Caenorhabditis elegans: one gene and its partners. The protein of the gene in region 1 interacts with the protein of each later gene in a pairwise test. Each region holds a gene or a part of one and is shown on either strand. Other genes may lie near its edges. The genes, in order: pbs-6, acly-1, wve-1 and fbxa-166.

Region 1 (5,446 bases):
ATACCTAAACATGACTCATGTTTGCTTCAAGCCTGCCTACCTAATACATACCACCAACCTCCATTCTTTTTTGTTCCTACCTACACATGCATCATTCCTGCTTGTATGCCTACCTCAAACCTTCCTGTCTCATACCTGTCTACTCCATGCCTACCTACATGTTCTAGAAGCTCAAGCCAACTCACCGGAAAGTTGCAAGTAATTACATAGTTCGCATGTGAACTTTCCAATTCTTCTCCTAATCCCTTTTTTAGACCTTTTAGCAAACTTGCTTCTTCATTCTTTATCTTGCTTTCAGTAAACATTTGTTGACGAAGAAGATCTTCAATTATATTTCTTTCTTGTTCATTTGCCTGTTCAGAATCATTTAATGAGAAACTTGATGATCCTGAAGTTTGATCTAGTATCTCTTCAGACTCATCTAAAACTTCTTTCTTTGGAACTTTCAACGCGCTTGATGGATCCGATGGAATGTCTGATGATGTTCCGGGAATATCTAAATTTGCAGTGGGATCCCAGTCATCAAATAATCCTTTTAGAACCTGAATTAGTTTTTAATAAACCAATAAATTCCCAATTTTTCCAACTTACAGATGCTGGTCTCTTTCCTCTGCTCATCGCATCTGAATCTCGTGGCTTCAAACCCAGAGTATCGACTAAATTCAATGGTTGAGCAAATCCAAGTTCAGCGGAAATGCTTTTAAATGGTTTTTTGAGAACATTTTGTGATTGTGCAGATATAGATTCTAGACATTTTGGAGATGAAACTAGTTGTGGGGCACATGAGGTTGGTGGAGTTGCCGGTTTTTGAATTTTCTGTGCAGGAGGATGAATTGGAACTTCTGTCACCCACGAATCCGGACAACCAATCGTTTTCTTTAAATATATTTTATTTGGAGGTTTCATTAAATGCAATTTACCAAAAAGTTGACTCAAAATTTATAAACAATTTGAAATTTTAACGTGTTTTCGCTTTTCTAGGCAATTGTAGTGCCTTGGTGCTTTGATTAGTTCAGTTTGTGGAACATCAAAGTGAGTAAGTAGTTTGAGCCACTGGGGATTTTGTAAACACATTAGCTTAAAAGTACTATTCCTAATTTAGAGTTGTTTCCTACAGTAATATCATTCCAAAATTACAATTTTATAAAATACAGTATTTATGATTTTTGATCGACCATTACATAAAGAATAACCTGTCATATTATTTTTATTGCCAAAATAATTATTACTCAAGTTTTTCTAATCTCGGGAATATTTATATAATTAGAAGCTAAATGTTGCCAAAAGCTTGACCTACCAAAATAGATTGCAAATCGAGTCCTCGCATTTTGAGAACTTCCAAAGTTTGATTGTAGATGTTAACTTGAATATAAGTTGACATTTTTCAGTAAATACCAACTTGTCGAGTTGCAAAGCAGGAATGAATCAATGACACAGCTGGGCAGACCACAAAGTAAGAGACTCGAAACGCAGACGGTTCTAAGCAGCGCCGACTCACTCCTTCTTTTGCATTATATCTTGTGTCTCACTCGTGCGTTCTTGCCCTGTGTGTTTTCGCTCTCTGCATTTTTCTCTCTATTTTGTAGTTTGCGTTGGACGCCGAAATGTAGTCATGTTGTAGACTACAACATATAAGTGGAGGAATATTTATCAGATTACCGGGATGGTAAAACAATTTCAGAGGGGAAGAGGATACGAATAAGTTAAAATAAAATGAGATAGATACTGCAATAATTAATCCTCACGAAGTGGCAGGAACTTTACGACGACTGGCTTTCCGGCTTCAGCGATGACCAAGTGAATTTTGTCTCCAGTAGAGATTTCACGCTCAGCAGCACCACGGAACGAATCCTAGAAAAAATAAATGAATTAGGTTAAAATTACGAAATTCAATTATACCTTCATCAATGAGATGGCTCTGTCCAATGTGAGTTCCGGACGCTCATATCCTTCAGAGAGCGTAACGTGCCCGATTTGACAATCCAAGAATGGAATGATCATTGGTTCAGCGGCTCCACTGGCTGAGTATCCAAGACGCTCGATACATCCGATTGGGTCGTAACTGAACACGGCCCCTTTTCCGTGCTCGTCAATTCCGGCAAGAATAGCTCCAGTGTAGTATGGGAAGAACCGACGGTAATAGAGGTTGCGGGAGAGAAGTTCTGCGCAAAGATCCACAGACATGTCAGAGCGATAATCGAAGCGGTACTTGTGGAGACGAGATTGGAGAACTTTCTTCAATTGGAGGACATCTCCATAGAATCCAGAGGTGGTGAGGATGATGTTATCATTCCTGAATTAAGAATTATTATTAAAACAAAGACAAATACTGGCTTACAAAATTTGAATCTTCTCTGCGTCACGTGTAAGAATGTTGATGTCGTTTTGGGTCATTCTAGTATCACTTGCCACGATGGCAAAGTTCTCCCCAGAAATGGCACAGGTTGATCCTCCCTCCATTGAATACGGGTTCCAGCGTTGACGCTCAATTTGTCTGGAACTCATCCACTCTGGATGAGCTGCAACTTCCTTCATTGCCTGCTTGAACATTGCCATTTCATTGGTGGCGTTGGCGACAGCCGTGATTCCAGTGAAGCTTGTCATCTGAAAAAGGCGTATACTTATTTAGTTGAAACAATATAAATATTCAATATGACAAAATTCAATTAATACAGAAAACAAATGCTCGAAATTTGAGAATTCAACATAACAGGAAATGCTGACAATGAGAGACATCGTCATTTACAATGTTTAGTCCGCAGTTTTCTGCGCGTTCAAATGCACATCGCACATCGAACTATACGACACTTTGCTGAAATTTATTGAAACGCGTTTTCCTCTCTTTTTTGAATGAAAATTCATTTTTCCAAGGTATTTTTGAGGACAATTCATCGCTTTATCTACATTTCTGATTAAAATTTTTGTGATTTCTTTTTTTCAATAATTGATATTTCAGATGGCAGATTTCACAGAGCAAACTTTGCGACAGAAGTTAACAAATTTATCAAACCACCCTTCCTCAATTCAGACGACTTCTGCCTGGCTTTTGCAAAATCATAGCAATCGGGAATTGATCATTCGAGTTTGGCTAAAGGTATTTTATTCATATTGTATCATTTTTTAGTGTTGTATTTCAGACAGTAAAGAAAGAAACACACGGCTCAAAAATTGTAAATCTTCTTTATGTGGCGAATGATGTAAGCCAAAATGCGAGAAAGACTTGCCCACAATTCAAGGACGAATTTTTTCCCGCAATAGAAAGTTCTTTCAGGTATTGGCATTTTCAAACGTCTAATCTCAAAATTAATTTCAGGCATGCAATCGAGTTGAAAAATGCAAAAGAAGTGGAACATGCAATTGGTAAACTGATCAATGTATGGAAAGATCGTCAGATATTCACTCCATCACAATGCAAACGGCTTCATGAAGTTCATCAACAAGTTAAGCTATCTGGAAGCTTCCCAACACCCGCAGTTGCGAACAAGGAACATGGAAAGGTGTGTGAATTTAATAAATTCCAAAAGAATGCCAAAATGAGCTTAAGGTCGCTCAACCTAGTCAGTTCGTCGTTGAAGAAGCGAAAAAGAATGCACAAGATGTTTTGCTCAGTTTGAAGCGCCTTCAAAACCCGCCGAGCACGGAAAGAGAAATTCGCACAGAACTTTCAAAATATCCGGATAATATTTCGTGCCCAGAAAAGTTGCAGTCAGTTCGAAGTTCGCAAGAAGCACAGTCTCTGTTGGTCCAAAATGAAGAAGCTCTTCCGATGCTGGAGGAATATGTTAAAAGGTTTGATTGAAACTTTTGTGAATTGATTTTGTACATTAACTTATGCTTTCAGGCTGAAAAACGAGACAAATGAACGCGAAACTCTCGAATCGAACTTGAATATGCTTATAGAAAATGTTAGAATGAGCATTGAACATCACGAGAAATTGTGCAGAGAAGTTAAGCGTAGAGAAGATCGAATCAAGGCAGATTTGTTAGAGGTTTGAAAACTAGAAAATCAGTTTTTGCAGACTTGAATTGAATTTCAGGTTGAAAAAACATTCGAATCGTTGCCAGATTTGGCTGCTGAGATGCCAAATGCACCATTGCCAACACTTGAAGCTTTGTTCGAGAAGAGGAAAAAATAAGTATCATACTACGTCATAATTATAACTTTACGATCTCAGTAGCTTTTACTGTACCCCCATTGTTGTATAATTTTTGTTCACTTTGATCTTTTACAATCGTGATCACCATTACCACATAAGTGCTTTATACGTTTTTCTTCTGAACCACCTTAAATGAATTTATTTTTTCTAAAATTCAAGTTAGTTCTATTATCTGAAAACGGTTCTTAACCAGTGTTTATCTCTGAAAGTTTGAAATTAATTGTTTAAAAGCTGATATTTTACAGATGGGTATTCTGGAGAAAATTGCAGAAATCGAACATGAAATTTCAAGAACCCAAAAGAATAAAGCCACTGAATACCATTTGGGTCTTCTAAAAGCAAAGTTGGCAAAATATCGTCAACAATTGTTAGAACCAACAGGCAAAGGAGGTGCCAAAGGAGAAGGATTCGATGTAATGAAAAGTGGAGATGCGAGAGTTGCAATGGTTGGATTTCCTTCCGTCGGAAAATCGACTCTATTGTCCTCAATGACTTCCACTCACTCAGAAGCTGCTGGATATGAATTCACAACTCTTACGTGCATTCCTGGTGTCATCTCTTACAACGGAGCCAATATTCAATTGCTCGATCTTCCTGGAATCATTGAAGGAGCTTCTCAGGGAAAAGGAAGAGGAAGACAGGTTATCTCAGTTGCAAAAACTGCAGATTTAATTCTTATGATGCTTGATGCAGGAAAGAGTGACCAACAGAAGATGCTTTTGGAGCGAGAATTAGAAGCTGTTGGTATTCGATTAAACAAAAAGCCACCAAATATCTATGTCAAACAAAAGAAAGTTGGAGGCGTGAAATTCACAAATACTGTTCCGTTAACTCATTGTAATGAGAAATTGATTATGACAGTATTGCACGAGTACAAGATTTTCAATGCTGACGTTATTTTCCGCGAGGATTGCACGTATGTTTTTTTTTAATTATCACTGAGCAGAAGTCCCAAATTGATATATTTATTAATTACAGAGTCGATGAGTTTATTGATGTAATTCAAGGAAATCGTGTATACATGACGTGCCTCTATGTCTACAATAAAGTCGATCAAATTTCGATTGAAGAAATTGATCGATTAGCTAGAATGCCTCATCACGTCGTTATTTCATGTGAAATGAACCTCAATATGGACTACCTTTTAGAGAAAATGTGGGAATATTTGGCATTAGTGAGAGTCTACACGAAGAAACCTGGAAACGCACCAGATCTTGGTAATTTTTAACGCTTAAAATTTGTATTTAAAATTCACATTAGGGTTAATCAATTTTCTCTCAATTCAAAAA
Region 2 (9,225 bases), on another chromosome or scaffold:
ACTTCAAGATTTTTTCAGGCCGTTTTATCAAAAAATTACATGTGCTCAACAACAAAAAAAATGTCAAGTTGTTTAGTGCAAATTAGTTAGTGCAAAATGGCCAATGCAAATTGGTCAGTGCAAATTGGTCAGTGCAAAATGGCCAATGCAAATTGGTCAATGCAAAATGGTCAATGGTCAGTGCAAAGTGGTGTCAGTGCACTTGGTAAGTTAACGAGTTGCATAAATAGTTTGAATGTTTACGGCGCAATGAACACATTCAGAAATTAGTTTTGCAGTTCAAACTGAACTTAAAATTCCAATTTAAAAATATTTGACAGAAAATCAACAATTATGGCATGCAATTTCATACAAATGTGCGCAATTTGATAAGTAAGTACTAGTTGAAAATAAATCACAAAACCTGAAAATTTGCATTTCACATGACGAAAGCACAGTTTCCAATGCTTTTCACTGATAAAGCAACAGTTGCACACTTTTGAATTTTATGATGCCTACTTATTTCTTATTTATATCGATTTTTATTACCTTTATTATACCGGTAGCTTCGATACAGTGCTGGGCATTTTCACAAATGGATTATGAAGGCAAGACGCATACAGTCGGTAAGGTAAGGAAAATGAAAAGTTGTTTGAAAAAATAATTAATTTTGAACATTTATATTACTATAAAAAATGTATTAACTAAATTGAGTTGTTGTTGGTCAGTGCAATTGTTGAAAAAAACGTTTACTTCATTACTCTTTTTATTCAATTTTGAGAGGGACCTCTACCAATTCATAAATCACAAGTTCAAGCTCCCCTAAATCTATCCAGCCTTAATCTGGAAGTGGAGCATTAGAGGACTGGATTATAGGCCTTGGTCCCCGGCTTGAACAAGGCTTAAACTGAAACAAGTGCCACCAGAAAACTGAAACGGGCTCCAACCTTTCAATCATAACTATAACAATGAAATTTCAGACAGCTATCACCTGCAATGGCCTTTATTGTTTGACGCTTTCTGAGCAAGCATCTTATTTCACAGTGTTCAATGGAACGTGTCCCGATCCGACAGTGTCTATTACAAATTGTGATGTAAGTTTTTAATAGCACATATTATTTTGAGTTTTCAAATGTGTTCAGCGTTGGTTAAGTAATTTTGCTCATTTGATCTTAGCTAACTTTAGTAAAAATTCAAGCCAAAAGCGTTTTCAAAACTGCTGAGAGGTCTACAAAAAATATAATAAGTTTCAGACCAACGGAGTGAGCTGTCAAAAGGAAAAGCTTGGTGATGTTGATGTTAAAGCGTGTTGCTGTAATTACGATTTCTGCAATTTATCAGGACAGAGCTTTACTACTTTTTCAGCAATATATGTTTTTTGCATGTTCTTTTTCCTATTTTGAAAATTTAAATAATAAAAAATTGACAAAATAAAAAGTCAATTTTCAGAGCCTCTCGTTTAAACCTTTCCATAATTTTTAAGCCTGAAAATCCAATTTCCAGATGAGGCCTGTTTAAGGCCTATGTTAAGACTAGGTCACCACAAAAATTTCAGGGACAGAATTCAGCTCTGAACCCCTAAAATTACCGTTGGAAAGTGTTTCGGTTCATTTTTGTACTAGGTTCAAAACTCAAGAAATTGCGATTGAGATGGTTTTTTCATTTAAAAAATAAGAGTTTTTTTTTCATTAAAACAATCTAAAAATACATATTTCGGCCGAAATTTTTGGGTAAAAACCTGTATTTTAAACCTTTTTTTAGTTATATAAGTTTTTGAACACAAAAGAAAGCTAAAAAAAAAGGCCCGTGCTAAATTTTTTTGGCTTAGCATTTCTTAAGTTCCAGAAAATTCCATACTATACCATGCTTTATTGTCTAAGCTGAATAAATATCATCAAATTCAAGAAAAATACATTTTTGTAAGCTAAAAAGTAAAGCTCATGGGGTGCAATATTAAAGTTGAGAGTAGAGTACGGGAAATAAATTAATGAACAAGTTGAGAAAAAAAACCTTGTGAAATTATTGCTTGGTTGGGGGGAGATAGGGGACTTTTAGGGTACAGTGATTAGAAAAAATTGGAATGCTTCAGTTGCTTGGTCCAGGAGAATGTTGAAGGGTTGCGGAATTTACTGAAAATTGTTCATAATTATCATTGAAATTAGATATGAATTTTTTTGAAACTTGGTCAGTGCGTAAAACCTTAAGCAATTTATATTCAAAACTTTACCAAGTTGCTCTCCGGCATAATGTAGGAAATATCATCCCATGGATGACGGTACAATCCCTGCTTCAGACGCGACTGATCCAAGTAGTGACCGATAAATCCAATAGATCTACCCAAAACGAAAAGCCCATTGAGCGATCCAATCTCGATTGTCTCCTCGGCCTCCTGCTTGGTGAACATGCCACTGTGGCGAAGGATATCGACGAATAAGATCGCAATCGCTCCGTCCACGTTGAGAATGAGGTTCGGTTTTTTGGCGGTCGTGATCTTCTCGACCTCAAGAGCATACTCGAACAACGGCGTCTCCTGGGCAAACTCCTTCTTGTCCATGGCAAATCTTTTCAGAATCTCCACACGTTTGTCAGGGTTGTTGATCTGGAAATTGACAATATTTGAGCTCTTCGGTATTAGACGTTCTATTTAGAGTACCGACTTGGATTACGCTAATTCTGACAATACTGACACTTGGTGGGTGTCAGAGTATCACGTCTCGGTTTGATGGTACACGTCAGAGTGTCCCATTTTAGTTTGATCTACGTAGATCTACAAAAAATGCGGGAGTTGAGAAAAACGTGCTGACGTCACATTTTTTTTGGACCCAAATTTTCCGCATGTTTTGTAGATCAAGACAACTTGACACCACGTAATGGTAAAATTTCCTGGGCACGTTGTTCCCGCAATTCTCAGAGATCAAACCGAGATGGGACACTATGTTTCTAAAATGAATCACTGTAGTACACTACTACAGTAACTACAGTGAGACATTTGTAAGGGTACTCAAAACCATTTTAGTCTCTACACTTACACTCTTCACACGATGTCCAATTCCCATAATATGCTTTCCCTTCTTTCTCATCTCGCTGACAAACTGATTCGCCGACCATCCTTGATCAAAAGCCTCAGAGAACTGACGAGCGGCTCCATCGAGGGCACCTCCGAAGCGATCACCAATGGTGAGTAGACCAGACGTGAGCGAAGAGATCAGATCTTTTCCAGCACGAGCACACACAATAGTGTTATGGGCTCCCGACACAGCTGGTCCGTGATCGGCGGTGAGCATCAAGCAGATCTCGATAAATTTGTTGGCATGTGGTGGGAGACGCTTCTGAAATGTATTATTAGTGGTGCTGAAAACAGGTCTCAATTCCCACCTGGAACCACAACAATCCCAACACTCCACCGATTCCCATATCCGACTCCAAAACCTTTGTAATCGGTACTCCCGCATAGTTCAACTCTTCTCCTCTCTCATCACAAATTGAGGTCATGAAGGAAGCTGGTTTTCTAATGAGTCCCAGTTCACGAGCCCACGCGTAATCCATCGGCACCGCTGGAGGTGGAACTTCTGGCTGTGGAACGATGATTTGTTGGCTGACAAGTTCGTCGTACGTCTGACGGATTTTGTTGCCAAGATCGTCAAATGACTCGGGGACAAGGGCACCTGAAGCACGGAGAGCAGCATTTTTGCAGGCAGCGGTTTCTCCGAGAGCATTTGCAGATGCTCCAGCGTGACCGAATTGAACCTCCGATGTGATGTGATCTGCACAGGTTCCGATGCACCATGCGACCAATGGCTTTGTCACCTTCTTCTGCTTGAGGAGATCCACAATTTTGTACTCTTCAACTCCACCGACCTCACCGAGAAGAACAATCATCTTCACACGATCATCATTTTGATAGCGAATCACGTGATCAGTGTACGTGCTTCCCGGATAGCGGTCACCTCCAATTGCAATACCTTCATAGACTCCGTTAGTGTTTTGTGAAATGATATTGTTAAGCTCATTGGACATTCCTCCGGAGCGAGATACATAGGCGACACTTCCAGGGCGGTAGAGCTTTGAGGCAAGGATGTTGTCCATCATTCCACCGGTGTTTCCAATCTTAAAGCATCCCGGCTTGATACCTCCGACGGTGGCTGGCCCAACAAGGGTGACTCCACGGTCATGAGCAATCTGAAAACAAGCATAATTAGAATCAGAATACTTCTATTTCCGGTGGGGGAAAACTTTACCTTCAACAGCTTTCTAGTCTGATTCTCAGGGACACCTTCAGCAATGATCGCAATAACCTTGATTTGTGGGAACTCGAGCGCCTCGAGAACAGTCTCAAATACAGATCTCATCGAGGCAAAAGTGACCATGATAGAAGCATCCGGATGAGTTGCAAAAGCCTTCGCCATCGACTTATAGGCTGGAATGAGAATTTCCTTTTGCCCAAAGTAGTACTTCTGCTTGTTGTCCCCAGTGAACGGGTAGGTGGACGCGACAACCGACGGGGAGCTTCTTCTGCAGACATAGTCAAAGTCCAGCATTCCTTGAATAGCCTTAGCCTGTTGTCCCCAGATGATGGCCTTGGTGTCGTCCTCGAAGAGTCCACGGAAGCTTTTCAGTTTGTTCTGTTGGGCAGTGGTGAGTGGGTGCTCAGTTGGAGTGGCGTTGGCTGCTGGCGAAGGTGGAGCTCTCTCAGTGCCTCCGGTCTGAAAAATGATAGATTTGAATTGTAGAAAAATGGATTCTTCAAGTTCACTAGATCTGAATGCACAGGGCATTTTCGATTTTTCACTAGGCCCTAAGTGAGCCCGCTTGTGGCTGGCCTATGTTTCCCGCTTCGCACCAACAAACGTGGTGTCAAAGTGTCCCATTTCAATTTGATCTACGTAGATCTACGAAAATGGCGGGAATTTAGACGCATACTTCTCAACTGGATTCGCATGACTCAAAGCTTGCTGACGTCCCATTTTTTCGGGAAAAAAATTCCCGCACTTTTTTGCAGATCAAACCGTAATGAAACAGCATGACACCTCGCACCAACGTAGCTAGTTTTTGGTCCTAAAAACCTACATTTCTCTCAGGGCTCAACAAAAACTGTCCGGTAGTCTGTGGAGCTGTCGGAACTGTTGGCATTGGCTTCACTCCGAGCGCTGCTCCAACAATCGCCGTCATATGAGTCTCAGGTCCGAATACATGAATTGGCAGCTCCAACTTTGTCGCAGCATCCTTGATTCTTCTGAGTCCCTCCTGGTAGTTTGGGCCTCCGCGACGCACGAAAATTGTCACCTTGTGCTCTTTGAGCTTTGAGACAAACGTTTCAAAGGCTCTGACGATTCCACCAAAAGTTTTAGCAACATTTGTGAAGTTGGCGATGGATCCTCCGATGATGAGGACTTTTCCATCAGGTCTCGGAGTACCTTCGGTCATCACGGAGAGGAGTGTCTTTGCGTATTCATAGGTTTGCGATTCAGACGGGTCTCCAGAGTATTCTCCGTAGTTGGCGAGTTCTGATGCTCCACCGAGGTCACAGACAGTGTCGCTGAAACAAATATGGCTAGACTTTAAATTCTATATTTTAGACTCACGTAAACACAACTGAAGCTCCACCACCAGCCACCATCGTCCAAACTCTTCCCTTTCTGTTCAAAATCGTCAGCTTCAAGGAAGCTCCCGTCTTCGCATCCATCTCCGAAATGTACTGCTCCTCTGACGTCAAATCACGTCCAAACGGAGCTGGGAACTCCACGTGGTTCGGTCCTCCATATGGTGTCAGACGGCTCTTCCACTTGTCTGCGCACAAGAAATTGGCGGTTTCATCAAGCCTAGCTGCCAAATCCAAAACATGAATCTGGTTGTTCAAAAGGACAAATGGATTAATCTCGAGATACGTGAAATGTAGGTCCTTGTAGGCTTTGTAGAGCTCTACCACAAATCTTCTGACAATGTCACTGTCCTTGAGTGGGCCCAGGAGGGTGGTGAGCTCTTCATCCGAGGGGGTCATGGCATTCTCGTTGAGCTGGACGGGGACGGATACAGTGCGAGCCTGGAAATACTCTCAGTAATTGGGAAATTGCAAAGGTTGAGTTTTTTTAAATGAAAATGATCCTATTTTACAAAAATGATAACTGCGGAGCAATTTGAATCCAAAAAAAAATTTCCGGGAAACTAACCTTTTCCTCAACATCTCCAATATCTACACCTCCTTGCTCATAGAACATGATGACGTCACGAAATCTCTCACTGTAGATCGCAATGTACATCTCATCCTTTTCAGTGTGTGCACAAAATGGCTCGACAATAAAAGTGTGAAGCCGTCCCTCGGTTTGACCAACTCTCACATAACTGTCACCAGTTTTCTCGAACCATGCCTTCAACTCTTGTGGTGTTCCAATCTTGACCAAACCCAGCTTTCCACGTCTTTTGATCAACTGGTCGGGCTTGATGACTCCCTTGTTATCACGTGCGAGCCACTCGTACTTGTTTGCAATTTCGTCAAAATTTTCGCCAGCCTTCACGTGAAACGCATGTGGAGCTGAGAGGAGTCCGCTTGGCTCGAAGTATTTGTAGAGAACCTGGAATAAAATTTAGATTGTTTTGTTGAGAATTTGTTAAAAATGTCAAATTGCAAGAAGTTTGGTGGGATCATTCTATTTTTAAATTAAAATTTTTTTTTCCAGTTGGAAATTTGCACTCACTTCTTTTCCAGATAACTCGCTCACAGCCTTCGCCGACATTGTTCACTTGTTCCAAAGAGAACGAGTTACCTGAAAGAAATTCAGAATTAGGAGGGAATACTAAAAAGCGTATGCCACGTAGCATAAAAAATTAAAAAAAATTCCACAAGAAGGAAAAAAGGAACTCAGAAAAAAACAAGAGAGGAATAAGTGTTTTGAGGCGAACGCAGGCGGTCAAAGGAAATTTGAGTAAACAACACGTTTTTCTGCTCCGCGAAGTCTGCGTCTCTAGCTTCTCCGGATTTCGCAATGTTAAGTTATTAATATTTTTGCATCAGATTTTTGAAACAATTACACAAAGTGTTCGAAAACGAATGTCTCTTTTATACCAATTTTTGAGCAAAAGTGCATTCACAAAAGGGCACTAACCAAAAAATTCAAAAAAATAGAAGAAAATTAGCTCGGGAAAGTGCAAAACACTGGAAGAGTTTTGTGTTTGGATTTTTAAAATGGGTCTGTCTTAGGTGTTAAGCTTAGGCATAGATTTAGGCTTAGGATTAGGCTCAGGCTGAGGCTAAGGCTTTGGCATAGGTTTAGGCTTAGGATTAGGCTCATGCTTAGATCTAGGAGCTCCAACAAAAAACTTAGAAAACGTGATTTTCCATTTTATTTTTGTTTTCTCAGTCTAAGAAAACAAGACCAAACGGAGAAATGCGAGAAAAGCGGCATGGAAATCAGAAACCTTTTGGGATTCAACTTTAGCTTCTCGCTCTCCGTTTTCTCCATCCCATCTATCCCCGTTTTTTCCAAAAAGAAAAGAGTTGCGGGGGCTTCTTTTTTTAAAAAAGGAAGAAAAAAAACGACTAAAAAGAAGAAAAACGTGACGTTCTGTGTTGGAGAAAAGGAAGAGAAGCAATTGAATATTCAGAATGGAGAATATTTTTCGGGGCTTGGCGGGTAGGGAAAAAAGTTTTCTTAAGTTTCTGAAGAAAGTGGACGGGTTAAAGCATTGGCTTAGGAAAGGATCACTTATAAAAGTTATAAACAAAGGAAATTATTGTGGTCAGTGCAAAAAAAAATGGTCAGTGCAAAAATTATAATGGTCAGTGCAAACATTTTTTGTCAGTGCAAACATTTTTCATCTGTGCAAAAAATTCTATTAAGTAATATCGAAAATAAATATTTCTGAACGATTTTGGATTTTGGATTTTTTTAGTAAATTTCTAACTGAACTAATCTATTTTCAATGCAAAAGTCTAGTTTAAAATTGCATCAGCTTTTCCTGTTTTACAAAAAAAACTACATATTATCAGTTACTTTCTAGGCTCCTGACCTTTCCACCACTCATTTATAGGAGTGGTCAGTCTTAAGATGGTGTGATGGTCTGTTAGCTACACGTGTATCACCTATCTCCTTATCACCGTATTTTAGAAAATGCCGCTAAAAACTTGTGCAAAAACGAAAACATGTGCGTTTCTCGTGGTGTTCCCACTTTTTTTCTCGCTGAGGTTCACCCGAAAATATGGTGCGATTCGAATTCTTATCACAACATGCTGAAGATAAATTGATAACGACTGATAAGGAAAATAAATTTGGAGAGATACGGATGTACCCGAACGACAGTGATCAATGGAGAAGGCGGCTACAAAATCCTACTTGAGAATTGGAAAAAAATTGGTTGTTTGTATATTTAAAATTTAAATTTTTTTGCCAAAATTTTGAAAGTCTGCCAAAATTTCGAACGTTTCTAAAAAATTTCGAAAAAAAATGCCAAAAGTTTTGAAATGTTTCTTTTTTAATTATAATAAATTGCCTAACTTTCTGAAAATTAAAAAAAAAACATGCCGAAACTTTCGAAACCTTTTTGAAAAAGAGTCTGTGAAAAATACCAAAATTTTTGGAATTGGAAAATCTATATGGGGATGATTTTTGCGTCTTAAAATTTAGTGTTATTTTTGTTGAAACTGATGGTAAAAAAAATCATTCGAAAATACAAAACTTTACATCAATATTTCTTTTTTTTTTCTTCAAAAATCCAAACATTTTAAGTTTTTTGGCATGTTTTTAGCCTACTACTTAGACTACAATAGTAGCTAAAAATCAAGAAAAAAATCCCGAAAACGTTCTTGTCGGGTACACTTTCTGGGTAGACGGAAAATGGATAAGGATTCGAGAGAGGACGGTCAGAAGAGGAAAAGGAGGCGAAGGAGGAGGAGGCCAACGTATTGAGGTCATGGACGAAATGGATAAAACTGGCGTGGAAGAAAACGGAGGAAAAGAGGAAAAGATTTGGGGTAGTGGAACTGGGTAGCAAGATTTTTATAGATATTTTAGGAGTTTTCAAAATGAAAAAAAAAAGAAAATTGTATTAATTTTACGAGAATTTGTTTAAAAAAAATCACGTTCAAAAACGAATAACTTTTGGGTAAATTTGTGGAAAGCTTTTATATAAAAATTTTCTTTTCAAAAAACATTTGTAACTCCAAAGCCTATAACAAATTATTCAAAATAGGGAAATTTTGAATTTAAAATTAAAATTAGCCTCCGATGTTGTGTGCACCATGTTTTTCAGAAA
Region 3 (9,874 bases), on another chromosome or scaffold:
TATTTCTAGTCTAAATCCTTCTCGGAGTCTGCCGCAAGTGTCGACAAACACCTCAAGTCAGAGCACGGATAAGCCTATGGTCTCTCTCGTAAAGTAGTGGAGTACTCCCGCGGATCCCGAGATGTAATCAGAAAAGTACGAACGAAATCTCTGTGTATGCACGTAGGCTCGTAGGCAAGCACAATCAAGGAAATATTTATCTGAAAAGCTTGAAAAGGCTCTCAAAGTGATGCAAAGCCAGAACAGAGTAAAAGTATGCATCATTATTTAAATTCATGAGTTTTCAGATGGGATCTGTGGAGTCAGGCTGTCTCATTGCGGTTTGATCTACAAAAAATGCGGGAATTTTCTCCCCAGGAAAGTGTGACGTCAGTTGAAAAGTCTGCGTCTCTTTTCCCTCATTTTTCGAAGATCAAACCAAAATGGGACACTTTGACACCACGTGTCAGTTTCTTTGAAGTCAATTTTCTTTATAATACTTTGCTCATGGTGCAACGATCTTTTTTTAGGTCTAAAAGCCGAAGCCTGAGCCCCAGCCTATGCTTAAGCCTAAGCCTAAGCCTAAGACTGAGCCGTAAACCTGCACTCTGTGAAAAAATGCTCGAAGTTTTCAGTTTTCAAAAAGATTTATTATTTAAGTGTAGATGGTGAAAAACATGCACGAAGATAGAATTTTTGGTGGAATGTATATCACAAGTGCAATCTCTTTGAGTCACTCGGCGGCGTTGTCAGTTTACTTGTTGGCGTAGTTGACACGAAGGTTGCGTCCATTGAAGGCAACTCCGTTAAGTTGTTCGACGGCTCTTTGAGCTCCGGCTTCCTCGGAGAACTCGACGAATGCGAAACCGCGTGGGCGTCCGGTTTCACGATCGTACACGATTCTGGAAGACATTGATTAGTTTTGACAAGGTTTTAATCGAAAGTTTCCGAGTTTCTGAGTTTCTGAGTTCTCTTACCTGACGTTGTTAACATGTCCGACGGCGGCGAAGTAGTTTCCGATCTCCTCCTCAGTTCCTTGGTATGGAACGTTTCCAACTAGAAAAAAATCGATTAGCAAAACGGGGGTAATAGTAGGTTTTGGCCTATATATAGAAAGTTACAAACTCTCACAATGCACTGTTACAGAGCAAATGCACCCTATCCTAGTCCTAGACTACGGAGACCATGACAGTGCGAAAAGTCTCTTCACCCATACTTTTTGTGGTCGAACGGCGTCTCCATTTCCAGAATTGTGTGGCGATCCGTGTGGGGTCCCGGGTACTCAGTTAGTAGACTCAGTTATACTTATACACGTGGAAGGGGACTACCTGAAATATCGGGATTTGTTGTCAAGGAACACGAATGAACCATAGAGAACGAAGGCCGATCGGAAAACGCTAACAATTATCAGAAATCGATACTTTCTGCAAGTCGAAGAAAAGTTCATCGAAGAAAAGTGTGAGAAAGTTTCAGAAGTTTTGAGAATTTTGTATCATATTCAAAATTTGTACAAATTTAAATTTAATTTTCACCACCGATTTATTACTATACTTACCGTAGACGGAGAATCCTTGGGAAGCCATGATAGATTTTTTTTTGAAGAAAAACGAGTGTGTTTCCGCGTGGAAGACAGACTAAAAATGTTCGATCGAATTTGGCAGTCCTAAAAAGATTGAGGCCAAACGCGCGGCGGGTCTCGCAGCGAACGTGCCGCACTACGGTCGATTTTGTGTAGGTTTACGGGAGGGATATTTTGGAGAAGAAATCGGCAATTGTTGGGAAAGTGAAATGCTTATTACGTAACAAATTTGACGCGAAATATACCTCGTAGCGAAAACTACAGTAATTCTTTAAATGACTACTGTACGGGCTCGGTATTCGAAATGAATTTTAGCTTCTGTGACACAACCAAGTTGGCGAAAATTGAGAATTTAGCTATATTTTGTTATTTTTCTCAGAATTAGAACAATTTCATTGATAAATAAAAAGGACCATCTCTCCGAAACCTCGCCATTTCACGATATTTTGAATATTTTGAACAGTAAATATTGAAATTTCAATCTCATTCTATTTTCGCATTTTCCTGTATCGATTTTTTGTTTTGTATATCATTTTTTAGACCGAAAAAAATTAATATTTAAATAAATATAAAACATTTCCGGAAATGAAAATATTTCCGATGAATCACAGCGAGACACTGTATGTATTCGAGAGAGTGCAGACGCTCGCTTGCGCACTTCTCGTGAGTGTTTGCTGACGCATCCCGGGTGCACCTTGGCGCATTTCTGGATTAATGATATTTTAATTGAAAAACATGAGATTTTATTGGTTTTTCCTCGTTTTTTGCAGTTTTTCCGATGAAAAAAAACATTTTCTGACAGAAATAATAATTTTGAAGCTGAAAAACTATGTATTTTATGATATTTCGTTGGAAAATTAGGTTTTATAAGTTTTTCAGTGAATTTGTGGGTTTAGCATGTAAATGAAGCAATTTTATATGTTTTCTAGCGATTTTTCCCGGTAAAGTTACCAATTTCAGCATAATTTTATTAAAAAAGTGGCTTTTCTGTTTAAAAAACTCAATTTTATAATTTTTCCAGTGCATTTTCGTGTTTACCATTAACATTAGAGTTTTTCGTGGAATTTTCCAACTAATTTCATTGATTTTGGCTGCTCGCTTTTATGAAGTTTCCAGTGAATTTTTATGTTTAACTAATTTTTTTCACGATTTTCGTGCCAATTTCCATTAAATCCATGGATTTTTACATATTATTCAGGGAAGAAAGTGATTTTTTTTCGATTTCAAGTCATCTTCTGTGAATTCTAACGCTTTCTCGCAATTTCCACCCACATAATCCCGCAATTTCTGCACATTTTCAGCAATGCCTCTAACAAAACGGGCGGTATCACCGGTAAACCTCAGCAGAGGCACAATTCCATCAACAATCCATCGTGATGAGCTTCAATGTACTGCTAATGGGACAATCGCCAATTTAGTACGACAATTGAGCTCGTTGAGGTGGGAAATTAGGTCGGAAAACTGGAATTTTATCGATTTTTTTTTGCAGTAAGCACGCTGAGAACATCTTCGGAGAGATTTATCACGACGCAATGATAATAAATCACAAATCGAACACTCTTCAACAGAGAATTGATAGATTGCACAAGAAAGTTGAAGATTTGGATTCAAATTCCGATCAAGCAACGTTGAATGAAGCGAATATGCGAAAAGCATTCAAAAGTTCAATGCTTGTAGATCAACATATTCTGGATAGAAGCACTTTACCTACAGCATTGACTGAAATATATGCAAAATGTGATCCACCGCCGGATCTTGATGCTCTAAATCCGTATAGAGACTCTGAAATCCCTGCGCTCTCTCTCTACACAAATCCCTCGTTTTTCTTCGATTTATGGAAAAAGGAGACACTAAAAGAGGTTGCCGAACGGCCCAGACGGGTAAAAAGCCCGAACGACGGGAGTAAAAGCCCGAAAAAGCGGCGGAAGCAGCCTGGACAAGGCCCTCTCGGCACGACGGCCTATAATGATATGCAGCATAGGAATCGACAGATTAGTGGATCACGGATTAATCAGCAGAATGAAGTTTTCTCGTTCCCGGAGGAATATCAGGCTCCGCAGGCTCTCGGGCTTCAGCTTAACTTTAAAAATCAGGTAGATTTTCGCGAGATTTTTCGATTTTTTGAAGAGAAAATCTCCAAACCGTTGAAAATCGGAAAAAATCGATAATTGAGCCCAAAAATTTGAAAAAAATCGAGTTTTTTGCTGAAAAAGTGAATTTTCTATTGTTTAAAAAGAAAATCAACTTTTCAACGAGATTTCAGCGCTTACACAGCTCTTGTGCTCCCCGAGCAGGCCAAAATGTTCTATTTTGGGGCAAAATTATGGGTTTCCAGTAATTTGGAGCATGAAATTTCCTAAAAATGCACTTTTTCGCCAAAAAACAAGCCAAAATCAATGAGAAAAAGTCACTTTTTCATTAAAATCTGCGAAGATTGATAAGTTTTTGGAAAAATCGCTAGAAACCCTACAAATTAACTTCAAAAAAACTATGAAATCGAATTTTTCAACGAAGTCCCAGCTTTTCCGCTTCAAATGATTTTTTACCGTTGAAAATCGGAAAAAATCGATAATTGAGCCCAAAAATTTGAAAAAAAATCGAGTTTTTTGCTGAAAAAGTGAATTTTCTATTGTTTAAAAAGAAAATCAACTTTTCAACGAGATTTCAGCGCTTACACAGCTCTTGTGCTCCCCGAGAAGGCAAAAATTCTCTATTTTGGGCCAATATTTGGGTTTTTTAGCCATTTGGGGCTTGAAATTTCATAAAAATTCACTAGAAACTTCCAAAAAGCCGAGTTTTCACCGAAAAACAAGCGAAAATCAATGAAATTAGTGGGAAATTCCTTAGAAAAAATAATTTTTCAACAGAAAAGTGCCACTTTTTCATTAAAAATATGCGAAAATTGATAATTTTTTTTTTGGAAAAATCGCTAGAAACCCTACAAATTAACTATAAAAATCCTATAAAGTCGAAAGTTTCAATGGGAACAAATAATTTTGAAGCTGAAAAGTTATGGATTCTAGAGGATTTCGTTGAAAAATTCGATTTTATAGGGTTTTTATAATTAATTTGTACGGTTTCTAGGGATTTTTCCAAAAAAACTTATCAATTTCAGCATATTTTTAGTGAAAAAGTGAAACATTTCTGTTGAAAAACGTTTTTCATTGATTTTGGCTTGTCTTTGAGGCTGAAAACTCGAGTTTTTTGGAAGTTTTCAGTGAATTTTTAAGAAATTTCATGCTCCAAATGACAAAAAAACTCTGAAAAATCGATAATTAAGCCCAAATATCCTTCTCTGGGAGTAATTTTGAAGAAAAAAACGATTTTTTCCACTGAAAATCTCCCAATTTTTGATAAATTCAGCACCCCTCCAACATGGTTGCCCCAATCGGAATGACAATGCACCATCATCCTCAACAAAATGTGCATCCGAGCCAACAACGAGGTGGTGCTCCAGCAGCAGCTCGTGGATCTCCGAATGTTAAACGTCCGACTGAAGCTCCGCCGCCAGTGAATCTGGATCACCTCCCACCACCGGATATGTCAATTTTATCGATTGATGATGATGATGATGATCTTCCACCACCACCACCACCGCTTCTCATGAATACATCAATTGTACATCAGTTACCAGCAGAAGCTCCGTCGACGATACAGTTTGTCGAGCCGAGTGCTGCTCCGCCGACTAATGTACGTTTTGGAGCTCGAGAGAATTTGGAGATTTTGGAGTAAAATCTTGGTTTTTGCGAGGAAAAAAGCTTGCGTTTTTGCTTTAAATTGTCCGTTTTCACGACGAAAAAGCTTGGAAAAGCTTGAAAAAACTAGAAAATGTGAAAAGTCTCTATTATTCTAAGTTATTATGAGCGTTTAGAAGCCTTAAGCCTTTTTCAGGCAAAATCTCGCTTTTTCGCTTTAATTTGTTCATTTGGGCCACGAAATCACGAAAAATTGGTTGAACTCTATTAGAAAGGCTTGAAACGGCTTGAAACCGTTTGGAAAAGCTTGGAAAAGCCTGACAGAGCTTGAACTAGCTTGGAAGAACTTGAAAGAGAACGATAAAGCTTGAACAAGTTTGGAAAGCCTGACAGAGCTTGAACTAGCTTGGAGAAGCTTAAAGAGCTTGAAAAAATAGTGAACAAGCTTGGAGAACCTTGAAATGGCTTGAAAACGTTTGGAAAACCCTGGAAAAGGCTTGAAAAGGCCTGCAAAAGACAGGAAAAGATTCCAAAACGCTTAAGAAAGCTTGAACAAGCTTGGAAAAGCTTGAAAGAGCAAGAAAAAGCCTGGAAAAGCTTGTAGAGCTTAAACGAACTTGTAATAGCTTGAAAAGGCTTGGAAAAGCCTGACAGAGCTTGAAATAGCTTGAATGAGCTTAACGAGCTTATAATAGTTTGAAAAAGCCTGGAAAAACCTGGAAAAGCTTGGAGGAGCTTGAACAAGCTTGACCAAGCTTGAGCAAGCCTGAAAGAGTTGGGAAAAGCCTGAAAAAGCTTGGAAACGCCTTGAAAAAGCTTGGAGGAGCTTGAACAAGCTTGACAAAGCTTGAAAAAGCCTGACTGAGCTTGAAATAGCTTCGATGAGCTTAAACAGCTTGAAACAGCTTGAAAGAGAACGATAGTGGCTTCGAAAAGCTTACAGAGCTTAAAAAAGCCTGGAAAAACTTCAAAATGCTCGTGCGAGCTTGAAACAGCTTGTAAAGCCTGAAAGAGCTTGGAAAAGGCGTCAAAAAGCTTAGACGAGCTCGAAAAAGCTTGCGAAAGCCTGGAAAAGCTAAAAAAGCCTGACTGAGCTTGAAATATCTTCGATGAGCTTAAAAAGCTTGAAACAGCTTGGAAAAGCTTGGAAATTTGTGAAAAGCTCCAAGATTTCTTGTAGTGCATAAAATTAATTTGAAGCTATATTTCTGCAATTTCCAAGCTTAAAACCCCGAATTTTTCAGTTAAAAATTTGCAATTTTTGTCCATTTTTGTGTTTCCCTCATTGTTGTCCACTTTCCGCTTCTTTCTTCAATTCTCGATCCCTTTCAGATCCCTCCACCACCTCCACCACCACCTCCAATGGTTATAAGCTCGGCTGCAGCGTCATTTGCAGCTCCGGCTCCAAAGGTAAAGGCGCTGGAACAGCAGGGCTCTATGTGTGTCTAACCCGCTGAAAATGTGTAGTTTTCCTGTGTTTTTTGGACTTTTTTGAAGCTTTTTTAGGGACAAATTTCAAGAGAAATAGCCGAATTTTCATCAAAAAATCGATTTTCTCCCACTAAAACTGAAATTTTCAGCCATCCGCGGACGGTGAAGCTGCTGGCACAAATTCCCCAGTTGCTCCAAAACAACCAGATGCTCGAAGTGATCTTTTGGCTCAAATTCAATCTGGAATAAAGCTGAAAAAAGTGCAAAGAGCCGAGGCAGAAGCCGCCGAGAATGCTGCTCTCGAGGCGAATAATGTTGCGGCGATATTGAAGAGACGAATGGATCAAGTTATGGGAAATGATGATTCAAGTAGTGAAGAAGGAGCTGATGATGATGAATGGGATGATTAATTGCTCTCTTTTGTGTCGATTTACGCAGATCTCGTGTACTCCTCGAGGAGAAGATTCTACAGATTTTGGCTAAAAATGCTTGATTTTCGCTATTTTTTCCTTGAAAATTAACATTCAAAGCGGTGATTTTTAAGCGAAAAACCCGTGAAAATAGCTCTAAATCAAGCATTATTACCCATTTTTGCATTTTTACTGATTTTTTCGGTGAAAAAAAAAACGATTTTTCGCTGAAATTCTTGATTTTCGCTATTTTTACTTGAAAATTAACATTCAAAGCGGTTATTTATGCACTTTTAAGTGAAATCTGAGTGTTTTTAAAGTTAAAAATAAAAATAATTCATTGATTTTTGCCAAAAAAAAAACCGTGAACATTGCGAAAATGGCTCAAAATCAAGTACTTTTTTTTGCTAAAATGGTTGATTTTGAGCCATTTTCGCTATTTTCACGGTTTTTTTTTGTCGGTGAAAACTTTAAAATCGCTCAAATTTCACTTAAAACGCTATAAATAACCGGTTTAAATGTTAATTTTGATAGAAAAATAGCGAAAATCAAGCATTTTTAAGCCAAAAAACTGTAAAATCTTCTCCTCGGGGACTACACGAGCTGCGTAAATCGACGCACACTTTTTCGAATTTTCTTGTGTAAATACTGCCTTGCTTTAATTTATTTATTCAAAAATTTTTAAAATTTTTTCCGCTTTCCTGTTTCAAATGAACTGATTTTTCTCATTTTTTGCCCCTCCAGAATTGTAAATTTAAATTTCCAAGTGGTCGCCTGCCCCCTCATTATTATTTCGCAATTTTATGATTCATCAGTTTTTCCAATTTTTATTCGATTTTTTTTCAATTTAAATCAATTTAAACCTTTGAAATGTAGGAAAACTTCAATTTTCGCTTAAAATTTTCAATTTTTGGTGAAAAATCGATTTTTCCGGAAAAAAAACGTGAAATTTCCAATTTGGAGCACATTTTTATGAAATTTGCATCATTTCTCTCGAATTTACGAAAATATTTAAATTTTCAGCGGAATTTGGACATATTTCCTGGAAAACTCTTGATTTTTCGCAGAAAATTGCAATTTTTCATGCAAAAATTTGTTTTCTACGCATCGGAGCTCCAAAATTCCCAAATTATTCGAAAATTCAATTTTTAGCTTTTTTTTTCTCGAAATTTCAATTGAAAATCGTGTTTTTTGGCTCATTTTAGCTCAGTTTTCAGCTGAAAAATTCGAAATTGGGCGAAAATTTGCTCAAAAACCGGTTTTTCAGCTTGAAATTTCATAATAATGATGCAACGGCTCTAAATTTTCATTTTCTCTAGTTTTTTTTGCCATTTTTCCCTCTAATTTTCTCGTATTTTCAGCAGCAATGTTCGCCAGTAGAAAGCTGGTAGAAACGGCGTTGGGCGAAGTTAAGAAGAAATTCGTACGGGTTGTGGCGGCAAAATTGCCTGCTGATGGAATGGAATACGATTTGGTTCAGTATAGATGTAGAAATGTACGGAAAAGACGATTTTCTCGGTTAAAATGCGTGGAAAAATGGCACTTTTCACACTAAAACTAGAAAAAAGTGGAGAAAAAGTCAAAAATTCACTCCAAATTTCGAATTTCCTGTTGAAAATTTCATATTTTTCGCCGCAGAAAATGCACTAAAACCAGCAGAAAAAGTTTTTGTTTGATTTTCTAACTAAAAATCCAGTTTTTTCCATCAAAAAATTCAAAATTTTCTGCTAAAAAACCAAAAAAGGAGAAAAAGTGGAGAAAAAGTCAAAACTTGACTCCAAATACCGAATTTCCTGCACATTTTTCCGTATTTTCTGCTGAAAATTCACTAAAATCAGCAAAAAATACGCCGAAAACCGGAGGAAAAAGCAGTTTTCCAGAGAAATTCTGTATTTTTTGCACTAAAAGCAGTAAATTTTCCAAAAAAAAGCCAATTTTTCACGATTTTGGTCAGTTTTTGGCGAAAAATCCAGTATTTTCCATCAAAAATTCCCAAATTTTCAGCTATTCGACAACACTGTAATCGGCGGAAAATACTCACGAGCATCCCTATGCGTTGACACAATACGGGCTTTACAGCCTCATTTAAGAGATGAAACTCAGGAGCTTCAAGCTGTGTGTGAAGCTGCTGCAACACTTGAAATTGTCAGTTTTTAGATGGAAAATCGGCGTTTTTTGAGAGAAAACCCGACTAAATTGAAGGAGAATGGGCTCAAATGAACGAATTTCGTAATGAAACTGCTCGAAAATGCAATTTTTCATTAAAAATCACCGAGAAAATCTTTTTTTTCCTAAAAATCCGAAAAATCAATAATTTTTTGCAGTTCCTGAAAATTAGAATAACCGAAAAATTGGAATTTTCTTATAAATTACCAGAAAATGGCTTTTTCCATTAAAAAAAGCATGTGAAAATCATATTTTTCAATAAAAAAAGCCAAAAAACCAAAAATTGGAGGTTTTTTTCCCGTACAAAAACCTAAAAATCTCGCTAAATCATCAAAAAATCCAATTTTTTTCACTAAAAATCACCGAAATGATATATTTTTAGTGAAAAAATTGGACTTTTTGGGTGATTTGGCGAAAAAACCTTCAATTTTTGGTTTTTTGGTTATTTTATTGAAAAATCCGATTTTAACATGCTTTTATGGATTTATGGAAAAAAGCCATTTTATGGTAATTTATGAGAAAATTCCGGTTTTTCGGTTATTTTAATTTCAGGAACTGCAAAAAATTATCGGTTTTTTCGGATTTTTAGTGAAAAATTTGGATTTTCGAGCAGT
Region 4 (6,760 bases), on another chromosome or scaffold:
CAACTGACATTTGCTTCATTTTTCTATACAATTGCAGTTGATAGATTTAAATGAAGCGAAATTTAACCTTTCAAAGCAAAATAGTCGGGTACAAAACAAATGGAGAAAATACGGTACTACATTTTTGATTACCACTTTTTTTCTGAGATTTCTTTTGCTTATTAAAAGTTTTAAATTTTCAGGTGATAGTTTGAAATGTCATTATCTTTTCGAGAAAATAAGTTCGTAATTCGAGCGTTTATTCTCTACGAAGCACTTGACAAAAAACCAATTCAGGAGTCTTACGATAATTTCTGTAAAAAAGTTGGCAATGACGTCATGACACAATATGATTTTGATTTCTGGTTCTATCGATTCTACCACGGAAATCATGACTTGCTCTACGATAGAAGGTAATTTTTCAAAAGATTTTTTATCATGGAAAACATTGTAGTAAATTAATGATTTTCTATTGGATAAATTTTTCCAGCGCCGATCCAGTTCCAAAGTCCTTGCCGAACATGCCGCTCAACATTATCAGCGAAATCTTGGCCCACCTGGATATTATGGATTTGTGAGAATTTAACAAACATTTTCGAAGCATTCAGTGGAACATTTTCAGATTGGTCATGATGAAAGTGTCACGAAACTTACGGAGCGTTGTTCAAGCCAAAGTAGATGTGGTTGATTCGATTGGGGTACGCTTTTTTGAAGGAAAGAATGCGAAGATTGTTTATAACGACCGCTTCATTATCACGTATGAGCCTAAGGGTGGCGGTTGTACGGTAATCTATTTTGACAGTTATGTCAACGAAGATGATTATTTCTTGGAAGAATATGACGAAAGGAGCAACAAAAAAGAAATATTTGTGCCTGGCAAAGACTATTTAGAGCTATTTAACAAGGATCTCAAGTGTTTGCTGGAAAATCGAAAAATTCAATTGGAAACAATTGAATTCACTTTTGGAACTGGAAAAGAACTCTGTGAAAAATGCATGAACGGCATTGTGGAAGCCCTCAAATCTGCGAAAAGCTTAACGTCAAGAACTGTGAGAATATGGCCTTTTTCGTTTTCAGAACTTGCACAACTAGTGGCTTTCTTTCCAGCTGAAACACTGGAAGAAATATATTTTGCTGGAGAGAAAGATACCGGATTTGAGCAGCTGGTCAGCTTGGATCAATGGAAAAATGCTAGAAAATTTGACGCAGATGGGAAGCTGAGTGTTCCAATAGAGCACTTTTTGCATTTCGAGTGGTTTGAAGTTTGCCTGGCAACATTCACAGAAAGTGATGCGATGAAAATTCGTGATGTGAGTTTTTTTACTCAAATCTATCTGTGAGCTGTTGTCAAAGTGATACAATAATTTTCAGATGATCGATAGATCCACTCACTTTGGTCATGCTGAGATTCGCTCTAAGGATATGAACATCAGCGAACTGATGAGAGTCTTCGCTGCGCACAATCAGAACCAAAACTTCGCATACGAAACTCCGGATAAAAGATTTTTCAATGTTAAAATTTATAGTTATTTGTTCCGAATCACAAAGTTGAGCTACAGATACGATTACAACGATTGGCTCTGAAAGACTATCTCTGTATTTTTCAATTTTTTATATGCTTTTACACCTATTTTTTCACAATATATGATTCATTTTTGTTTTATAATCTTTTCTCAAAAAAATTATTGTTTTGTTAAGCGAATCCATAATATCGAAATAATTCTTACTGACTGCATTGAAGCAGTAAATATCCGTGTTCTTAAAGATGGAGTAGCGCCAGTGGGGAAATTGCTTTAAAACATGCCTATGGTACCACAATGACCAAATATCATAGTAAAAAAATTTAAAAAAAATTTCTAAATTTTATATGATTTTTTGAAAATTGAAAAAATCTCGAAGTGCATCAAATTCCTATTTAAATTACCGCCAATAGTTCGATGTTCGATGGAGCGCGCTTGCATTATTTTAACTTTTATTTATTAATTTGTCTTATTTTTGTTTGATTTTTCATTTTTTTTTTTTGAGTAATTTTACTAGAAATTTGATGAAAAATTCAAGATAAATAATAAATAAAAGTTAAAATAATGCATCGAACATCGAACTATTGGCGGTAATTCAAATAGGAATTTGATGCGATTCGAGATTTTTTCAATTTTCAAAAAATCATATAAAATTTTTTTAATTTTTTCACTATGATATTTGGTCATTAAAGAATATAGGAAATTTATTCACTACAGTTGTTCGTTTATTAACCCAGTGCATACAACTTCTAAAGCTGACACCGATTTTTGACAATTTTTGGTCAAAATTCTTTATGATTGTTGAATAGTTAACTTATCAGTGTCGAAATTAATTTTTATGATGCAAACAATCCGAAACATTTAATGTTTTATGTAGCTGTGGGCACACATTGCCATTTCATTTCAATTTTTTTGCTTCCAGAAAACTTCAAAACCTCAGGTACTAGCTCAAAATGTCTGCATCTCTCCGCCAAAGTGAGCTCACTATCCGAGCATGTATTCTCTACGAAGCACTCGGCAAAAACCCGATCCAATTGTCCTACTACAATTTCTGTACGAGAGTTGGAAATGGCGTCATGGGATTTTCTGATTTTGAATTCTGGTACGATCGATTTAGCAACGGAAATCATGATTTGGACTACGATAGAAGGTATGTTTGGAATATTTTCTTTGGAATTTCATAACGAAATCATAAAAAAATTGCTGAAACTGTTACGAAAAATATGAAGCGGCAGACATTTAGCGGGCCCAGTTTTTCAGTTTTTTTTAGCACAATTCAAGCAATTCAAGAAGAGGACGGAATGGAACAAGTTATAGTAATTAAATTATTCCCTTCCTTAACCGATTGACACTGTCTAACTAACTTCAAATTATAATTTTTCAGCGTCAATCAAGTTCCAAAGTCTTTGCCGGAGATGCCGAAATCCGAAAAAACAGAGATCAGCGAAATCGGGACCCAAGTGGACATCGTCGAATTGTAAGAATTTTGAGAAAAATCTTCAAAGGTGGATTTTGTCTAAATGCACTTATAATGATCCCAAACAACCGAATATCATAGTAAAACACTCCAAAATTGTTTAGATTTTTCATAATTTCCGGTCAAAGTTTTGGCAAAGTGCCAAAATATTAAAAAATATGAGCTTTTGAGGAAAGGCAAAGCAATGTCACATGTTTCGACCCCTACAATGTCTTGATACAAATAATTAAATCAAAATTATAATATTAAAAATTTAGAAAAAACCTTTTTTTTTTGGTCGACTTCCAAAATTATGAGTGGCAAAAACTGAGTAATTGCCACTTTTTGACCGTACATAAAAAAATTTCAAAAATTTTTTGAATAGTTTTATTATGATATTCGGTCATTTTGGGACTATAAGAGTGGTTTTTAACAATTTCCCCACTGGCACTACTTCACCTTTAATGGAATACTTTTTTTTTTTTTTTAAATTGCCTTGAGGATGACCCACAAGTGATTTTATTGTTTAATCAAAGTTAATCAAAACAATAATAAGGTCGGGACCCTCACGAGTCCGACAAAGAGAGGAAAAAATAGACCGGCATTGAGAGAGGAAAGGAAAAAAAAATGAAATGAAATGAACTTTCAGATTAAATCTAATGAAAGTGTCGCAAAGTGTTGCTCAAAAACGGAAAGTTGTGCTTGATTCACTTGTTGTACAGTTTTATGAAGGAGAGTCTTGTTCGAGGCTTATTTTTAATGATCGCTATATTATCAAGTATGAGAAGAAGGATCAGGGTTGTACTGTGTCCTATTCAGATAATAGAGCCAGTAGCGACAGCAGAAAAAAAGAAATCAATGTGACTGACGAGGATTACGTAGAACTATGCATCAAGGATCTCAAGTTGTTGATGGAAAATCGGATGGTTCATTTGAAAACATTCCGATTTGCCATAATCGCTGTAGCTACAAAAGAATTCCGTGAGAAGTGCATGAAGCGCGTCGAAGAAGCTCTGAAGACTGCAAAAAGCTTGACGTCGAGAACAGTGGAAACAACTGGTGGTTACCTACTAGAACTCGCACAATTGATGGCTATCTTCCCTGCTAAAAATGTGGAAGAAATTAGATTCACTGGAGATGGAACGATAGGAAGTGAACAGCTGGTCAGCCTGGAACAATGGAAGAATGCTAGAAAATTTGATGGAATGAGGGATTTGAATGTTCCGATTGAGCACTTTTTGCATTTTGAGACTTTCATAGTTTATTTATCGGTATTCACAGAAGATGATGCAGTGAAGCTTCGTGATGTGAGTAATTTCTAGCATTTTTTTTTAATTCAGCGACCCTATATCTTTTCAGATGATCGATAGATCAGCCCACTTCTGTTATGCTAGACTTCATTTCAAAAGTATGAACATCAGAACACTGATGGGAGTCTTCGATGTCTACAATACTGAGCACAATATCGTTTACCAAACTCCAGACCAAAGATATTTCAATGTTAGATTCTATTCGAATGAGCTCCAAATTACAAAGTCTGGTTACAAATTCCACTACTACTAATAGCTCTAAATTATAATAATTTTTTTCTAGCTATTCTCAATTTCCAGATTGAATAACTGATGTTTTTTTTTTAATTTTCACAGAATAAAGGTTATCTTTTGGCATTCTAAGAATCAGAATCTTCAAAAATCAAAAATCCTACAACACCCGAAACAAGCTCGAATTTTAAACCATTCTGCATTACATGGAGTTCCATAGGAGCGCTATGTATTATCAGAAGAATATTTTTTCCTCACTCTTAAACAACACATGTTTCTCTCATTTTCGCTGTGTCTAGTTCAATGAAATATTTTGAGAAGAATTGAGAAATCATACATTTTTATCAGTGTTAAACTCAATTTCTTTAAAGCAAATGCTCCCCAACCGGTAAACATTTTCCGGGCAAAATAGTAACTTCATTTCAATTTTTTTTTCGTTTTTGGTCTGAATATTCTCTTATTTCCTCTTCTGAAAAATTTTCAGGTAATAATTCCAAATGTCAGTTGTTCTTGGCGAAAATGAGCTTGTTATTCGAGGATGTATTCTCTACGAAGTTCTCAACAAGAAACCGATTCAGGAGTCTTACGAAAACTTCTGTAGAAATGTTGGAAATGACGTCATGTCATATAATGACTTCGATTTCTGGTTCTATCGATTTTACAACGGAAACCATGACTTGCACTACGATAGAAGGTATTTAAAAAGAAATGTTATAGAAAAGCAGGACCTATTGCTATTGGATGAAAATGCAGTTTTTCCGCGACTTTTCACCCACATTGTCTGTTATAGTTTCTTACAAGACCCCTAACAAGAGTACTGACCTCAAATTAGAAATTTTTCAGCGCAGATCCAGCTTCACCTTTGCTGTCAAACATGCCCCTCAACATAATTGACGAAGTTTTAAACCGCATGGAAATTCTTAATTTGTAAGACTTTTTTCAATAATGTGTTCAGTGAAAAATTTTCAGATTGGTCCTGATGAAAGTATCACGAAACTTTCGAAAAGTCGTTCAAAATATGAAAATGGTGTTTGATTGTATTGAAGTGGATTTCGATGAACATTTAGCGATCACCTATAATTCGCGCCACAAAATCAAATATCGGCCAAATGATACAGGTTGTGGAGATCTAAATTTTAATTATAGGGCACCGGCTGAAAATGGGTACAAGAAACGGAACTCTACATAATATCAGAAAACAAGCACAATGCCAAAATAAAATTTATTTTAATTTTTTGTAGCTCAGTACTCGCCGTTTCGTCAAGAACCAACTTGCACGTGTGGTCGCAGAATTCGCACGAGCGATGAAGACAACAGAAAAGAATTTTTTGTGACTGACGAGGACTATATAGAGCTAGGCGTCAAGGATCTCAAATTGATTATGGAGAATCAAAATGTTCAATTGAAGAAATTCCAGTTTTCGAATGGATCTAATCAAGACACTCAAAAGAAATTCATTGACAGAGCCGAGATAGCTTTCAAGTCTGCAAAAAGCTCCACAAGAACCGTGGAAGCACACTACAATTCATTAGCAGAAATTGCCCAACTCTTGCCCATTTTCCATGCTGGAAAACTGGAAGAAATTAATTTCAAACAAGGGGCCAGGACTGATGGATATGAGCAGCTGGTTGGCCTGGAACAATGGAAGAACGCTAGAAAATTTGATGGATTTTGGAGCTTGAACGTTCCAATTGAGCACTGTTTGCATTTCGAGTGCTTCAAAGATCATTTCGTAAGATTCAAAGAAGAAGATGCAATGAAGCTTCGTTATGTGAGCTTTTCTTACATTTCACAAAAATTTTGACATTTCTCAAAAATCAGACAACTTTCAGATGCTTGATAGATCCACTAACTTTGGCTATGCTGAAATCACCATCGATCCAATGAACGTCAGTCTATTGAAAAGGGCCTTTGATGTGAACAACGACAATAAGTTCGAATTCGTCTACCAATCTCCGGACAACGGGTCTTTCGAAGTTCATTGTGCTCTTCGAGTGCTATATATCACTAAGTCTGGCTACAAATTTAAATACAACAACAAGAGTGCCAGCACCTTCTATAAGCCACCCCCGATCCCAGCCCCTCCGGCGCTTTTTTTGAGGGATTATCAATTCTTCGATCCCCGTCCACGAATGCCAACCGATAGATCCCGCTACAGACCTTTTTAACGATGGAAGCACTTGTCTATTTTTATGTGTTTTCAAAGCTCTTTTTTGAACACTTTCCATTTATTTTTATACAATTTTTACTTTATAAAATTTTTT

What was found.
Region 2: the proteins of pbs-6 (region 1) and acly-1 interact in a two-hybrid assay, tested with the Caenorhabditis elegans proteins (2 studies listed by BioGRID).
Region 3: the proteins of pbs-6 (region 1) and wve-1 interact in a two-hybrid assay, tested with the Caenorhabditis elegans proteins (3 studies listed by BioGRID).
Region 4: the proteins of pbs-6 (region 1) and fbxa-166 interact in a two-hybrid assay, tested with the Caenorhabditis elegans proteins (3 studies listed by BioGRID).

Annotation. Positions count from the first base shown.
Region 1 is NC_003281.10:8,241,489-8,246,934, forward strand, and holds pbs-6 (Proteasome subunit beta type-1), read right to left. Parts: upstream 2,605-5,446; coding exon 2,339-2,604; intron 2,294-2,338; coding exon 1,900-2,293; intron 1,852-1,899; coding exon 1,735-1,851; 3' UTR 1,634-1,734; downstream 1-1,633. Other genes in the region: Putative zinc finger protein C02F5.12, read right to left, coding at 186-542, 592-876, 1,298-1,381; cids-1 (CID domain-containing protein 1), read left to right, coding at 2,957-3,094, 3,138-3,271, 3,314-3,497, 3,545-3,789, 3,842-3,989, 4,038-4,136; putative GTP-binding protein C02F5.3, read left to right, coding at 4,403-5,073, 5,136-5,374. UniProt on the Caenorhabditis elegans protein: Non-catalytic component of the proteasome, a multicatalytic proteinase complex which is characterized by its ability to cleave peptides with Arg, Phe, Tyr, Leu, and Glu adjacent to the leaving group at neutral or slightly basic pH.
Region 2 is NC_003284.9:1,477,057-1,486,281, reverse strand, and holds acly-1 (putative ATP-citrate synthase), read right to left. Parts: upstream 6,741-9,225; 5' UTR 6,711-6,740; coding exon 6,672-6,710; intron 6,549-6,671; coding exon 6,147-6,548; intron 6,020-6,146; coding exon 5,562-6,019; intron 5,516-5,561; coding exon 5,047-5,515; intron 4,683-5,046; coding exon 4,218-4,682; intron 4,159-4,217; coding exon 3,355-4,158; intron 3,309-3,354; coding exon 3,009-3,308; intron 2,579-3,008; coding exon 2,195-2,578; downstream 1-2,194. Other genes in the region: D1005.10 (C-type lectin domain-containing protein), read left to right, coding at 97-205, 321-376; D1005.4 (Activin_recp domain-containing protein), read left to right, coding at 491-610, 960-1,073, 1,233-1,382. UniProt on the Caenorhabditis elegans protein: Catalyzes the cleavage of citrate into oxaloacetate and acetyl-CoA, the latter serving as common substrate in multiple biochemical reactions in protein, carbohydrate and lipid metabolism.
Region 3 is NC_003279.8:11,922,495-11,932,368, reverse strand, and holds wve-1 (Wiskott-Aldrich syndrome protein family member), read left to right. Parts: upstream 1-2,852; 5' UTR 2,853-2,861; coding exon 2,862-2,998; intron 2,999-3,047; coding exon 3,048-3,651; intron 3,652-4,921; coding exon 4,922-5,248; intron 5,249-6,585; coding exon 6,586-6,663; intron 6,664-6,833; coding exon 6,834-7,094; 3' UTR 7,095-7,828; downstream 7,829-9,874. Other genes in the region: R06C1.4 (RRM domain-containing protein), read right to left, coding at 734-881, 957-1,035, 1,535-1,562; fdps-1 (Farnesyl pyrophosphate synthase), read left to right, coding at 8,461-8,589, 9,099-9,239.
Region 4 is NC_003280.10:1,614,697-1,621,456, reverse strand, and holds fbxa-166 (F-box domain-containing protein), read left to right. Parts: upstream 1-2,408; 5' UTR 2,409-2,452; coding exon 2,453-2,649; intron 2,650-2,883; coding exon 2,884-2,976; intron 2,977-3,604; coding exon 3,605-4,262; intron 4,263-4,314; coding exon 4,315-4,518; 3' UTR 4,519-4,628; downstream 4,629-6,760. Other genes in the region: fbxa-158 (F-box domain-containing protein), read left to right, coding at 196-392, 470-553, 602-1,289, 1,351-1,563; fbxa-165 (F-box domain-containing protein), read left to right, coding at 4,994-5,190, 5,340-5,423, 5,466-5,614, 5,738-6,267, 6,329-6,664.